2 linked regions of the Rattus norvegicus genome follow. The protein of the gene in region 2 purifies or fractionates together with the protein of the main gene of each other region. This does not show direct contact. Links are inferred from orthologs where the notes say so. Each region holds a gene or a part of one and is shown on either strand. Other genes may lie near its edges. The genes, in order: Nrbp2 and Tsc22d4.

The links.
Region 1: the proteins of Tsc22d4 (region 2) and Nrbp2 purify together in Homo sapiens (affinity purification with mass spectrometry; 3 studies listed by BioGRID and IntAct, counting the BioPlex papers as one, with this or other methods). This does not show direct contact. The link is inferred for Rattus norvegicus from reciprocal best matches to the Homo sapiens genes TSC22D4 and NRBP2.

Annotation. Positions count from the first base shown.
Region 1 is NC_086025.1:109,677,344-109,684,195, forward strand, and holds the end of Nrbp2 (nuclear receptor-binding protein 2), read right to left. Parts: intron 6,752-6,852; coding exon 6,657-6,751; intron 6,533-6,656; coding exon 6,509-6,532; intron 6,440-6,508; coding exon 6,356-6,439; intron 6,274-6,355; coding exon 6,218-6,273; intron 6,141-6,217; coding exon 6,045-6,140; intron 5,630-6,044; coding exon 5,497-5,629; intron 5,385-5,496; coding exon 5,282-5,384; intron 5,184-5,281; coding exon 5,133-5,183; intron 5,055-5,132; coding exon 4,919-5,054; intron 4,027-4,918; coding exon 3,973-4,026; intron 3,889-3,972; coding exon 3,825-3,888; intron 3,740-3,824; coding exon 3,684-3,739; coding exon of another isoform or gene 3,599-3,683; coding exon 3,530-3,598; 3' UTR 1,987-3,529; downstream 1-1,986. UniProt on the Homo sapiens protein: May regulate apoptosis of neural progenitor cells during their differentiation.
Region 2 is NC_086030.1:24,584,854-24,591,899, forward strand, and holds the start of Tsc22d4 (TSC22 domain family protein 4), read right to left. Parts: upstream 3,954-7,046; 5' UTR 3,477-3,953; intron 3,042-3,476; 5' UTR 2,771-3,041; coding exon 2,027-2,770; intron 1-2,026.

The sequences.
Region 1 (6,852 bases), on a different chromosome or scaffold from region 2:
GGCTCCTGCATTAGTGTGGTTACCCATAACCATCTGATAAATAAATGTAAAACAAGAGAAAACACAAATCCAACATCTCAATAATTTATCCAAGAAATGGAGAGAAATCAATAAACAATTCAAGAAAATGTCATCCCCCCTTTTTTTAACTGTAGCAGGTCATAGATAATTTCCAAAACACTAGGCAAAGAAAAGATGAGGAGAAACAGAAGAGCTCTTACACAAAAGGTCAGAATCCAGAAGCCTGGCAATTCCAGGAACTAGAAGAATGTAACATGACACCCTTAAGTCCCGAGGAGAGAGGGTTTTCAGCTAAACAAATGTCTTGTACCTCCTTACATTTTCAAACGCCTAAGATTCCAATAAGGATAAACAGGTCAATTCCATAATTTCCCATCCGCTTTTCTGTTCCTTTTCCTGTGGGGTAAATGAAGAGGAATGCACAGGAGCCAGAGAGAAGAGAGAGGCATGCAGATCCTGGTGCAGGGCAACGCACACCAAGAACCGAACCACAACACAAGAACAAGCAGCAGGCTCGGTCACTGTGCTGGGTCCTAAATACTGAGAGGAGCCCAAAGACAATGGCAAACACATAACAGAGGAGCAGAGCTGGGGAGTGGCTCGGCAGTTAAGGGGGCTTGCCACCAAGCCTGATAATCTGGGTTAAATCCCTGAGTCCACATAGTCGGGGGGGGGGGGGGGGAACCTAACTCCTTCAGGTTGCTGACTGACCTCCTCATGAGCTGTGGCACAACACACACACACACACACACACACACACACACACACACACCCCATTTAAAAGAACTAAAAAGGAAAATTATTAACTTCAGAGAAAACAAAAAAAATTGTGCAATAGGCAAAATACAATGTAGGACAGGTTGTTCTCTGCTAAAACCTACACTGATGGAACGGTAATACTCATCGGTGATGCCCATCAAACTGGGCTGATGCTGGGACAGAAGGTTGGCAGGTGACTAGCCCTAAAGACTGCCACGAGGAGACACCTACCATATAAAACCCACTAAACAGGACTAAAAGCATGCTTGTGCTTGTGGCTGGGCACAGTGGCACTTGCCTTTCATTCCAGCACTATGTGAATCTGAAGCAAGCCTGGTCTATGAAGTGAGTTCCAGGCCGTGACAGCTATTCCTGGTTGTCAACCCGACTACATCTGGAATGAATTACAATCCAGAAATGGAGGTTACAACTGTGATCCAGATCTTGAGACTGGAAGACACAGGCTTCCGACCCGGACCTTGGCATGGAGATCTTGAGGCATAGTGGTCATGAAAAGCTTAGGCCCAGGCAAGCTAATGTATACTTTTAATCCCAGGAGACTGAGGCAAGCAGACCTCTGAGTTCAAGACCAGCATGGGATAAAGCAAGGCCAGCACATCTGTTGGAACCTACTTCTTCAGGAATCCATCTTATACAGAAGAGCAGCTGAAACTAGCCTTGTGGGTCTGAGCAACTACTAGATTCTTGGACTTCCCATTCATAGGTGGCCACTGTTGGGTACTACAGACTAAGTCATTGCAATAAATTCCCTTACTATATAGAGACATTCCATAAGTTCTGTGACTCTAGAGAACGCTGACTAATACACAGGCTGAGGCTATGAGATTTGAATTTGTGTTAAATCAGGGTAGAAGATTACTCACTGTTGACCTTGCCTGGCAAGTCAACTTTTAAAACACTATGTTTGCAGTAAGGCACAGTGGCTTATACCTATAATCACAGCACCGGCCTGGTCTGGATTCTGAATTCCAGGCAAATAGGGCTGTATCCTAATGATAAGCTGAACAGCCGGATGGTGGCTCGTGCCTTTAATCCCAGCACTTGAGAGGCAGAGGCAGGCAGATGTCTGAGTTCAAGGTCAACCTTGTCTACATAGTGAGTTCCAGGACAGCTAGGGCTACACAGAGAAACCCTATCATGAAAAAATCAAAACCAAACCAAAAAAATGCTAAAGTACAGCACTGGTGCTTACAAGTTCAGTTTAATTATCTGTACAATCTGTTGTGGATTTTAAAAATAGACTATGTCAGACCATGCACAATGAGAGTTCATTTAATTTATTAAATGTCCCATGACAACTTTGCTTAATATAGGTTTTGGTTTGGGCTAAGGTGGCATGGAAGGCAACATAGTAACGACATCCACCATCCACGTCTACTCTCTAAGCACCAAGACCCAGGATGATTAGTCTCCAGAGCAAAAGGTACTGTGCAGATGTGGTTAATCTACAGACCCTGAGAAGGATATCATCCCAGGTTACCCAGGTGGGTCCAACCAACTCACAAAAGGCCCCGAAACTCCCCAGCAGTGGAGAACCAGACAGTTAGTCCATGACAAGATTCAACTTGATGCTGCTGGTCTTGAAGGGGATAGAAGAAGAGCTAAGAAAAATTGGTGGCCTCTAGAAGCTGAGAAGGGCTCTTAGTTGGCAGCTGTAAGAAAACAGGAATTTCTACCTTACCATCGTAGGGAAGTGAATTCTGCCAATAGCTTGAAGGAGCAGGAGGTGAGCCCCAACTTCCAGAAAGGAACTTAGCCTGGGTCTTAATCTAGTATTAAACTTTTGATGTACAGAACTGTATGTGTGTTGTCTCAAACCACTGGGTCTATGATATGTGTTAACAGCAGCAATGTGGAACTATTAATAGTACAGTAGTGAGCCTTCCTGGTTTCACACGTGAAGGTTTCAAAAGGAACGTGGAGGCATTACATTTATATACACATTTAAAAACGTTTAAGACCTTAAATTTGAAGTTGGAAGAGAGGAGGCGGTTCAAGAACCAAGAAATCAGGGTGGTTCTGAGGGGAAGAATTTACCAGGACTCTGAAATCAGCAAGAATGAGAGACAAGTTGGGTTAAGGAGAAAGAGGAACCCACATCCTCAGACTCAAACACATTGACTTCCCCGGGGAGGGGATGCAGTGGACGCCTGACCTCTGAGCCCTTAGGCCAGAGGGTTGATGAACAGAAAGATCCTACCCAAGGGCTTTGTGGAGGACACAGGTCCTGGTCTCAAATGTGTGAAAGATCAGAGAGACGGCTCAAGGCAGGTCTGCAAGGCAATCGGGACTGGTCTGAGCGGTGACCATGGAATTTCCTGGCCACAGGTCTAATCCAAGCTCTCTAATCTATGAGTCTCCAATCAGGTCAGGTTTGGTCTGCCTGATGCCCAGCACTGTGTCTGACACCTGAAGGGCCCTATTACTTTTGAGACCAGGCTCCTTCCTAGGTTTCTGCCACCTGAAGGCATGGCTGTTGTCCAGTACCAGATAGAGTGTGGGTCCCCTAACTGACCTGTATCCACTCCCATCCAGGCTCAGGGCTCCATCACCACCCCAGGGTCCCACACTGCTGCAGAAAGCTGTGGGGGAGGGGTCTTCACTAGCAAGACCTGTATTCAGTTCCAGGGAACACAGGCAGAAGGCAGCTTTGAGCAGTGTGGGGCTCTTTGACAAGTGGACAACCCTGAGTCCTGGTATCTCTGCTGGGCTGTCAGGACTGGAAAGGTCACGCTTGTGTCCCACGGTACTTGAGAAAAGTGGTCTCCAGAAAGGCTGCTAGCTTTGTCCGGTCATCCTGCAGTGGAGGGGGTGGGGAAGCACGGTAGTACTGGGCAGCTCGGCAGACTGCACCTTTCCAAACCCGAGGCGCACCCGCCCACCTCGTGCAGGAAGCCATAGTGCACTAGTTCGGCGGCGAGGTCCTGGGCACTGTCGGCTGAAGAGAGAACACAGGACAAGTGAGTTGTGGCACTAGCCGGTGCCTGAGCCCCAGCCCACCACCTGATCCCCTACCAGCCTACTTGGGAGCAGATCATAGGTCAGCTGCCGATGTAACCGGTCCTCAAGCACCAAAAGCAGAGTAAGCTGTCGACGGAAGGGCGTGGTCAGGGCGGTGCCAGAGTTGATTGGTCCCCGTCTTTCCTAGTCCCACCCAGGGCCCTTGCTCACGTGCCACCGAGCCTTGTCCTCGCTTCTTTCCAGGTTGCACTGCATCTGGACCACCTGTGGCAGGGGAAGTGTATTAGCCACAGAGTATTATTTAACAAAGGAGCCCAGAAGGATCAGCAGAGACCCAAAAAATGGTAGACATCTCCAAGGGAAGTCCGGAAAACACATCTTACTGCACCATCCCTGAGGTATTAGGGAAGGCTTCCAAGAGTAGTAGCCTTCTGTTGGGTACTGAATGATGAATACAATGCCAGAGGGAGAGAGGGACAGAAGGAGAGACAGAGACAGACACACAGAGAGAGGCAGAGACAAAGAGAGAGACAGAAACAGACAGCGAGACAGAGACAGAGAAAGAGAACTGTGGAAAGCAAGGAAATGCTGTGTCTCAGGGTGCAACAGTACAGAAAAATGGGGTGCCACCAGGAGCAGGACAGGGGACTGAGGCTGATTTCTTTTCTTTTTCTTTTTCTTTTCTTTTCTTTTTTTTTTTTTTTTTTTTTGGTTCTTTTTTTCGGAGCTGGGGACCCAACCCAGGGCCTTACGCTTCCTAGGCAAGCGCTCTACCACTGAGCTAAATCCCCAACCCCCTGAGGCTGATTTCTACTAGCTCTCTGTGCAGCTGGGATCCAGGACATGTAGACGACTGGCATTTGAATTTAGTGTGTGCTGAGGAAGGATGGAAGCTAGGATGGGGGAGATCAGAGTGATGGCTCTGGATCCAGATGGGGAATGGAGGTGGCCAAAAGCCTATGGAAGAGACCACGCAATGGGATGGGGAAGGACTGTAAAAGCAAGAAGCCTCTGGGGAAAAATGGTCAGCTTGGATTTGGTCTCTGGAAGCCTGGGGGAGAATTGGGATGGACAGAGACAGGTCCCCAGAGGCACCCATTCCCTGGTTGTGGTTAACTCTGAGAAACAGCATAGTACAGCAGGAGTTGGGACTCACCTTCCTGGTCTCCGAGTCAAAGGGTTCTGGGGTTGGAGTTTTGGCCTTTTGGGCCTCCTCTGGGGGTGGGGCCAACACACGAGGAAGTCCCAAGGGCCGAGCAGCAGCGAAATTCATGAGTGGATAGATGCCATTCCTGGAGATAGACAGGGGGTAGGTAGGTGGGGACTCGGGTCTGATAGTGTTTTTTCTTCACTGTCATGCCAGCTCTCACCTGACATCCTCTAGGAATTTGTCCAGCTCCAAGAAGGAAACCTCTGAGTACCTGGGATGGTATGGAAGAGGTGTCATAAGACATAAGAGGCATCAAGCCAAAGCCTAGCCAAGCAGTTAGGAGGGGAAGCCTCATTTGCCACCACTCACCGCCACTGCATTGGGGGTCCATGGGGCTGGGGCATCTCAGCCAACACTGCATGGAGGTCCATGGCCTTGGTCTTTTCCTCTACCACATTCTCAGGCATGAGGTCTGTGAACCACAGAAATGCCCATGGGGATGGACCCAACCTAAGGGTCCTGCAAAGACCCTTCCATGATCTGACCCCAGGATCCTGGTCCACCCCGGCCCTTCTGCCCCTCACACTGGTGCTGGATGAAACAGTGGGCTGCCAGCAGCTTCAGCGAGTGCACCTCAAAGAGCACTCGGTGGAAGAGGAGGTTGTGGGCTGAGGGTCGGCGGGCAGGGTCCCGGGCCAGGCAGGAGAGGATGAATTCCTAGGTTGTGGGGAAGAAAGGTAGTGGTGGGTGGAAAATCCTCGCTCTAGAGGAGATCTTTCAAGACCCTAGACCCCACGGGTCCAATCATTGCATCCTCCCACCTCCACAATGATGTCCTCCATCATGCCTGCCTGAGAAGGCATCCCATTAGCAGCTCAGGATCTGATTCTGTAAACTTGAGGGCAGGAAGGCCTTGGGCTCCAAACACCCATGCCCTACTTCCATTCACCCTCTTGAAATTCCGTGAGCTCCTAGAAGAGTCTTCCTTTGAGGTGACCTCAGTCCGCCAGCTACGCTTTCAGATGCTAACACTTTCAAATGTACTGACCAGACTACACCTCTAGCCTACCTAGAGGGCTTCAAGGGCAAGCCCAAGACCTGCAGCCAGTCCTAGAGGGGTTAAGCTGCTCACCCGCATGTTGGGGTCACTCAGCGAGTGCCTGGCCCGAGCAATAGCTTCTTCTGTGACTCGGGTATCCCCGTTGGCTTGGATCTCCAAGACCGCCATCTGGGTGCAGGGCACAAATTGGAAATGGTGAGATGGAGTAGAGCCAAAGCAGAGGCTATGAGGAGAGTGAACAGTACCTCCAGTGCACACATCCCAAAGGAGAAGATGTCCACAGCAGTCCCATCGTTGACCTCTGAAATGGGAAAAACAAGGCAGAGTTGATTGGACATTCTGATGTGCCAGCAGGTCAGATGGAAAGCGGCTTTAGGACTCACCGCCATACTCTGGTGGGAAAAAGTGCAGGTTTCGGAGCTCCTCCCGTTCAGTTCTTATAGGGCTCCGGAGATCGTCAGGAAGTGCTAAGAAAAAGTGTGATGCTGAGCAGACCAGTTTCTCCACAGCTCCCACACCCCAGAGACCCCACACACCATTGGAGAAGATGCGGTACCACACTGCAACGGCCGACGCAGAGAGAAAGAGAGGGCGTCAGTGGGGCCAGGAGACTGGGCAGTCTCTGTCCTGGGCTCCCGCTGGTTCCCCACCCCTGCCCCCTGCCCCGCCCCGCCTCGCCAGCACCAGAGCCGATCTTGATGAGGCCATTGTGCTGAATGAAGATCGTGTCGCTGGTCAGGTTTCCGTGGATGATGGGGGGACTGCAGGCGTGCAAAAAACTGCAAGCATAGAGGAAGGGAGGCAGGAAAAACCGGGTCAGAGCGCACCGGAAAGAAAGGTGAAGGAAGAGCAGGGGGCAAGTGCGTGGGCAAGCCAGGCT
Region 2 (7,046 bases):
TACATAACCCAACAGGCAGATGCTGGGGGCAGCTGTAAAAGGGTGGAGGTGACAGAAACTGGACAAGAAGCCTCTACAAGGGCCCCTGAGAGGCCCCTACCTCAGGAAAGCCAAGAGTGGTTAGAGGGACAGAGCTCTGCAAAGGGGGCACAGGTATCAACCACCTCCTGTCCTCAGTCAACCTCCCTCAGCTCTTTTTCAGACCATAAAGCTGAATGAAGAAAGTCTAACTCTGGAGGCAGGGAAATAGTGACAGTTACAGGCACACAGGAAATGATCGAGGCCGATTGGGAGGAAGGAAGGGGGGGCGCTGGGGACACTGTGGGGCAAGAAACAGGGTCTACAAACCCAAGATAGGCTTGGGCCGTGCCTGAGGAGAGCAGAGGGGCATCAAGATGGCTGAGGGAGTGGAGAGGCTTGCAGCCAAGTTTGGCAGCCTGAGCCCGAGTTTGATCCCACATGGTGGAAGTCACACAGCGGAAGGATTTGTCCTCTGACCTCCACATGCACACCAAGACATGCACAGGCCTGCAACACATTCACGCACACAAATTAAAGGAATAAATTTAACAAAAGTAGAGCAAAGAGTCATTGAGGAACTTGTCCCGGAGAGTCTGGAGTCTGGGGACAAGAAACGATAGCTTATCCAGGAGGCTAGAGTTTAAAAAAAAAAAAAAAAAAAAAAAAACAAACAAACAAAAAAAAAAAAAAAAACACGAGAAAGATGGGAAATTTGGGCCATGAAATGGGGAGCTGAAGGCCAGGAGAGGGTGGGAGAGCTGGTCCTGACCAGTTCTAACAGGGCTCAAAGGCTTAAGATATTTTTACACTGTGGTTTGAGCCCATGGCCAGTAAGAGACAGAACCCTCATCCTCACTCCCTGCTTTCCCTGTGGCAGCCAAGATGTTATTTTCTCCACAGCAGAAACATCCAACTCTCCAATCTCTAAGTACCCAACCTTCAACACACACACACACATACACACACACACTGACACACACACACACTGAGACACACACACAGACACACACACACACACTGAGACACACACACAGACACACACTGGCACACAGACACACAAACACACTGGCACACAGACACACACACAGACACATACCCACTGACACACACAGACACACACACAGACACACACACACACTGAACACACACACATAGACAGACACAGACACTGACACACACACACACACACACACACACATAGACAAATAGACAAACACACAAACACACACACACACACACCAGGCACATAGGCATCCTGCCCCCAGCCCAGACTTGTGGGTAGCTTCCTCTTTTGGAGACAGGAAACAGAAAGTGCAGAGGATTTAACTCCTTCCCAACTGCTTCCTTACCTCCCACTCAATGGTCGATGAGGTCACCCCATCCCACACTCCAGAAGCCCAGGTCTAGGGTACTAAAACCAACCAAGGGTGATATGCCCCACCCCCTACCCCAATTCCTCAGAGAAACTGGTTTGCAGTAAGGCTGAAAATGGGGCTGGGCTGGTAGCTGTTGGTTAGAATAAAGACCCAGAGGAATGCCTACCTTTTATGGCTGCCCCAAACCCCTGCCAGCTCCTCCCCTCCAGGGCCTAGCCAGCCACCAGGCTGGAACCTCCACCCTCATCACCTGGAGCCAGAGAAGGTAAAGGCTGAAGTGGGCAGGCCACATCGGCCACAGGTTTTATGGAAACAGTCAGGGCCAAGGGCAACAGTGTGAAGGCCACAGAGGAAGGAGAGAAAAGAAAAAAAGACGGAAAGGGGAAAAGGAAGGAAGGAGGAAGGAAGGTGTAAATGTGTGCAGAGTAATGAAGGCCTGGGACAGAAAAAGAAAGGATTCACAGTTCAAACTGTAAAAAGGGAAAAGGGGACTTTATGCTCTACCCAATAGGCAGCCAATATAGGGGATTGGGGGGGGAGACGGAAGTTGAGGTGGGGAGGCCCAGGATATAGGTCAGACGACTGAGTACAGTAGGTCTTGCCCCGCCCCCCATGAGCCCATCTCTTACCTTCCCTGTCTCCTCTGGAGCAACTAACTCCATCCTCAGCCGAACTGCTCCATCTCTTCTCCGTGACAGAGGAGGGGTTCCGGCTGCTAAACCCCCAGACTCCACTTCTACCCTCAGGGAGGGCAGGGTTTGAGCACTATCTCCAGTCCCAGGCCCTGGGGGGCGCTGCTGGGGTGGAGAGGCTGACAGCGGGGGCGTCTCCACCTTAGCCTTGCCAGGTCCTGCCAGCTGGCCCAGCCCCCCTGTGAAGGATCGAGCCTGTGGTCCAGGAGAAGTAGGGGGCGGGCGGAGCCAAGAGGTGGGGCCCTGAGACAGGCCTGGCTGAGGGATAGGGGTGCTTATGCCCAAGCTAGCCAGCTCCAACCTAGAATCCAATGATCTGCCTCCGGTGCCTCCTGAGGCCCCTCGAATTCCCTCCAGAAGCCGACCGAAGCTCGGGGGCTCCAGGTCTCTCTCGTAAACATCCACACACGTCCACCGACCTCGTCGATAAGGCTCTCCTAAACCTTGGGGCAGCTTCACCACCCGGAAACGGGAGGCAGGGGCTCCAGGTGGCGGAGAGCCATTCCGGGGGGTGCCCCTGCCCCCTGGATCAGGGTTGGGTTCCCCGTTGGGGAGGCGGGGCGGGGGCCCAGCGGGAGCCGGAGGGGCAGGGGGGTCCGAAGCCCCTGGGCTTCCTGGGCCCTCATAGTCCGTGGTGACGCTGGTGATCTGAAAACTACTTTTCTTCTTACCACCACTCATGGTCCCTAGGGCTCCGGACTGGGCTGGGGTGGGGGAGGGGCTGGGCTCCTGAAGAGGGGCTCAGGCACCTCTGGAACAAGGGGGCCACATGGCAGGGACATCAGGGCCCCTGGGGACGTCTGGGTCCGTCATGGCAGGAGGGCCTTGTGGGAACTTGGGGGTGCCTGGTTAGTGACTGGAGAGGGGAGGTGGCAGGAGGGGGGGGGGGGGGAGCAGAGGCAGGTTTTTCCTGCTGCTGTCGCTGCTGAAACCCCAGAGCTGAGCTTGCAAACTGGAAAAAGAAAGAGACAGAAAGTGAGCGAGAGTGTGTGTACGTGAGCAAAAGAAAAAGCAGGGGCCAAACCACCTCCGGGGCTTCCTCTCGGGGGAGCCGACTGGGGGGAGGAAGAAGAAAGCCACTAGAGACCCAGAGACAAGTAGAAATGACAGACCGGAGCGGAGGGGACAGAATTCAAAGCACCCAGAACAGGAAGAAGCAGCTGGGACCCAAAGTTGAACATTTCATGCTTGAAATCCAAAGTCGTCCCCAACACGTATCTCCAGGGCCAGGGGCAAAGGGGTGAACCGGCTCCTCCCCTGAAAGGGCCACCCTGAGGCCTCTGCTGGGCCTCAAGCCCACCCCACCCCCATTCCAGCTCCCCCATCGCTGGTTAGGCACTGCCCGCCAAGCCAAGCGCGCCCCGCCCAGCCCGAGAAAACTACCTACCTCTCGGGCCTCGGCCACCGAGCTGAGCTGGAGAGAGGACCTGGGGACTAAAGATGCCTTTTTTTTTTTTTTTTTTTTTAATCCTAAGGCGGCCTAGCGCAGGCCACGGCAGGCAGCAGTCAAGGGCTGCCCAGTGTTCTCTGGCGTCCGCATCTCACTCTGCGAGGCATCTCGGTGGAAAGTTTGCAGTTGAGACGAGAAGAAACCAGCGCTTCCACGGTGGAGCCCAGGCGCAGCCTCCGTTAACACTCCACGGGTCTTCTCTGTTGCTGTGGGAGGGGGCGGCTCAGCCCCCCGCTGACTCCAGTCCCTTGAGTGGCTCGCTCTCTCTCAAGGCTCCTCCCACGTGGCCCCACTGGATGTATCTCTCGGCTCCTCAGCTCCGCTCCGCTCCGTCTCAGTCTGGGTCTCGGGCTCTCTCTTTCTGGGCTGTTGACAACCCCCACACCAGGAAGTCCTGCCTTCTCGGGCCTGCTCACTGCTCCTCTCCTCCTCCTTCCCCTCTTCCTCCTCCCTCTTCCCTCCTCCCTCCTCCCTCCTCCCTCCTCCCTCCTGAGGCTCTCTGCCAGCTGGCCCGGAGCCAGGCCTGCCACAGCCGCAGCCGCAGCCGCAGCCGCAGCCTACAGTTGCAGCTGCTGCCGCCGCCGCTGCTGCTTCTGCTGCTGCTGCGGCCCCAAACTGGCTGCTTTAACCCTATACCTGCCAGGTTCAGGGCAACTCTTCCTCGGAAGGAGGGGCATGGAGGGCGGAGAGAAAAAGGAGGAGCCTGCGGGAGGCCAGGGATTCCCTTACTTGTGGGCTTTTGGTGCCATTGGGCTGCAGGCTTTCCAAAAGAGTCTCAAGGAACGTGCTGGACATGTTCTGGGTACCTGGCTGTTTATAAATACCTAGTAAGTGTGACCCACTGGCTGTGATTTGTCACGGCGTCTCTGGTTTTCACCGTAAGTTCACGAGAAACTCCCCCTCCCCACTCTGTTTTGAAAAATGAGCGGTTATGAAAATTTTCAAACATGCCCCAAAGTAGAGGAAATAGGATAATGAACGCCCACGCGCGCCATCATGGACTTGTAACAATTATCAGCTTTGCCCAATCGTGTTTTCGTCCCTCCAATATCTTTTCTCGGATTTTGCTGCAATATTTGGATCTCTCTCTCTCTCTCTCTCTCTCTCTCTCTCTCTCTCTCTTTCTCTCTGTGTGTGTGTGTGTGTGTGTGTGTGTGTGTGTATACATCTGGAGGTCAACTTGGAGGAGTTCGTTTTCTCTTCCACTAATAATGGGGGTCCTTTGCTGGTAAGGCCCTTTACCCACTGAGCCATCCTATCTATCATGCTCCTGTATTGGAAATCAAGCCTCTGATACGGTCTTTCCCTCTCTTAAAAGGGAAAATTGGAGAAGCAGACCATACAAGAAGGCTGTTGGTGGTAGGACACGTGTGTGTGTGTGTGTGTGTGTGTGTGTGTGTGTGTGTGGCATGTGTGCATATGCATGAGCGGTTGCAACACCTGTGTGTTTGTTAGTGAGAGGACCACACTGGGTGTCCTACTCAGGGTCTCTCATTGAACGCACAGCTTGGTAGGCATCCAGCAAACCCCAATAATCCTCCCATCTCTTCTCCACAGCACTGAGGTTATAGGCACACAGGGCTATGCCCCGGCTTCTCATGGGACTGCTGAAGATTTGAACTCAGATCCTCATGCTTGAGTAGCAAGGGCTTTTGCCTGCTGAGCCTCTCCTCAGCCCAGGATAGGCATTGCCACCTTCTCATCTCCGTCTTTATCTGTCCCTCACACAAACACTTAGGTAGACCTGAAGGTGAACTTGCTCACCTATGTTTCCCCACAGTGGCCGGACACACACCTATGTCCACAGGACTACCCCATAGGTATACCTGAGAACCAATCCCAGCAGGCATAGACTCTTCCCCATTTCCAACCCTTTCCCACCTGTCCCATACTATCACTTCATCATTATAGAGAATCCACACACATATAAAGGGTATATTCTGCGACTGGCAAGAAAAAAAAAAAAAACAAGCTACCAACTGCCATTTTTCTTTCTTGGCACTCAGAAGTGGCTTCTGGGCAAGAGTCTTCCAGCCAGAGCAGGATCTAAAGGCAGCATCTGTTGTCACTCATAGGTTTGGAAGGAGATAGGTTCTAATTAGTTTTATTCAAACAGAAGGGTTCTAGGTGGTTGTGGCAGTGTGCGTCCATGCCTATAATCCCAGATCATGGGGGATGGCATAGAAGTAGGAGGCTGAAGAGTTCAAGGCCATCCTCAGCTACATGAGATCCTATTTCAACAGCAACAGACAGACAGGAGGAAAAAAAAGAAGAAAGAACTGTTGGTTGGTCTGGGAATATAGTTTAGTAGAGTGCTTGCCTCATATAAATAAAGACCAGGGTTCCATCTCTAGCATCGGTAAACTACTGTAAATTACACACCTGTAATCCCAGCACTCTAGAGGGAAGGGTTATTCTTGGGACAGTGAATAAGAGGCTAGCCTGGGCTACATAAGATTCTGCCAAAAAAAAAAAAAAGTAGTTTTTTTTCTTTTCTTTCTTTTTCTTTTTCTTTTTCTTTTTTTTTTTTTTTTCCGGAGCTGGGGACCGAACCCAGGGCCGTGTGCTTGCTAGGCAAGCGCTCTACCACTGAACTAAATCCCCAACCCCAAAAAAGTAGTTTTAAGCCTTCACCTTTTCTCAAAGGGAAGAAAGATGGCATGAATGCAGATATTCAAAGAGGGAAATTGAGGCTCAGAAGCATTTCATTGTTTCTCTACAGCAGAATTCAGGTTTCTATGGGGATATCTAGACTCCTTGCTTTGACTCACATAATTTTTTTTTAAGACAAGGTCTTAATAGCCCAAGCTGGTAGCCAAGTAAATCCTGATTCTTCTTTCACACAACTGAGTCCAAGAATTACAAACGCAGCCGCCACACCTGACATTCATGGAAACTTCTCATCACCTTTCTTATCGTGGTAGACTCAGTGCTCGTGAGTTAACCTAGGCATGCTAGTTCAGTTCAACACTTCACTGTTGAGCTTCGGAACACACTGGCCTTGAACTCAGAGGTCTGCATGCCTCTGCCTTCCAAATGCTGACAAAAGGATGCCCCAATGTGCCCGTCTTACAGTTTATTTGGTGTGTGTGTGTGTGTGTGTGTGTGTGTGTGTGTGTGTGTGTGTGTGTGTGTTTGGTTGTGGGAATGTGCCCATTGGTGCAGGTGCCTGAGGCTGCTGGGCAATCTGATCCTCTGAAGCAGGTATTACAGGGAGTTGTGAGCCACTCAGTGTGGGCGCTGGGAGCTGAGCTCTAGTCTTCTGCAAAAGTAGTATGTGCTTGTTTTTAAGGATAGGTAAATGTTGGGGGGGGGATGGGTGACACACACCTTTTTTTTTTTTTTTTTTTTTGGTTCCTTTTTTCGGAGCTGGGGACCGAACCCAGGGCCTTGCGCTTCCTAGGCAAGCGCTCTACCATTGAGCTAAATCCCCAACCCCGACACACACCTTTAATCCCAGCACTCGGATAGCAGAAGTAGGCAGATCTTTGAATTCTAGGCTGGCCT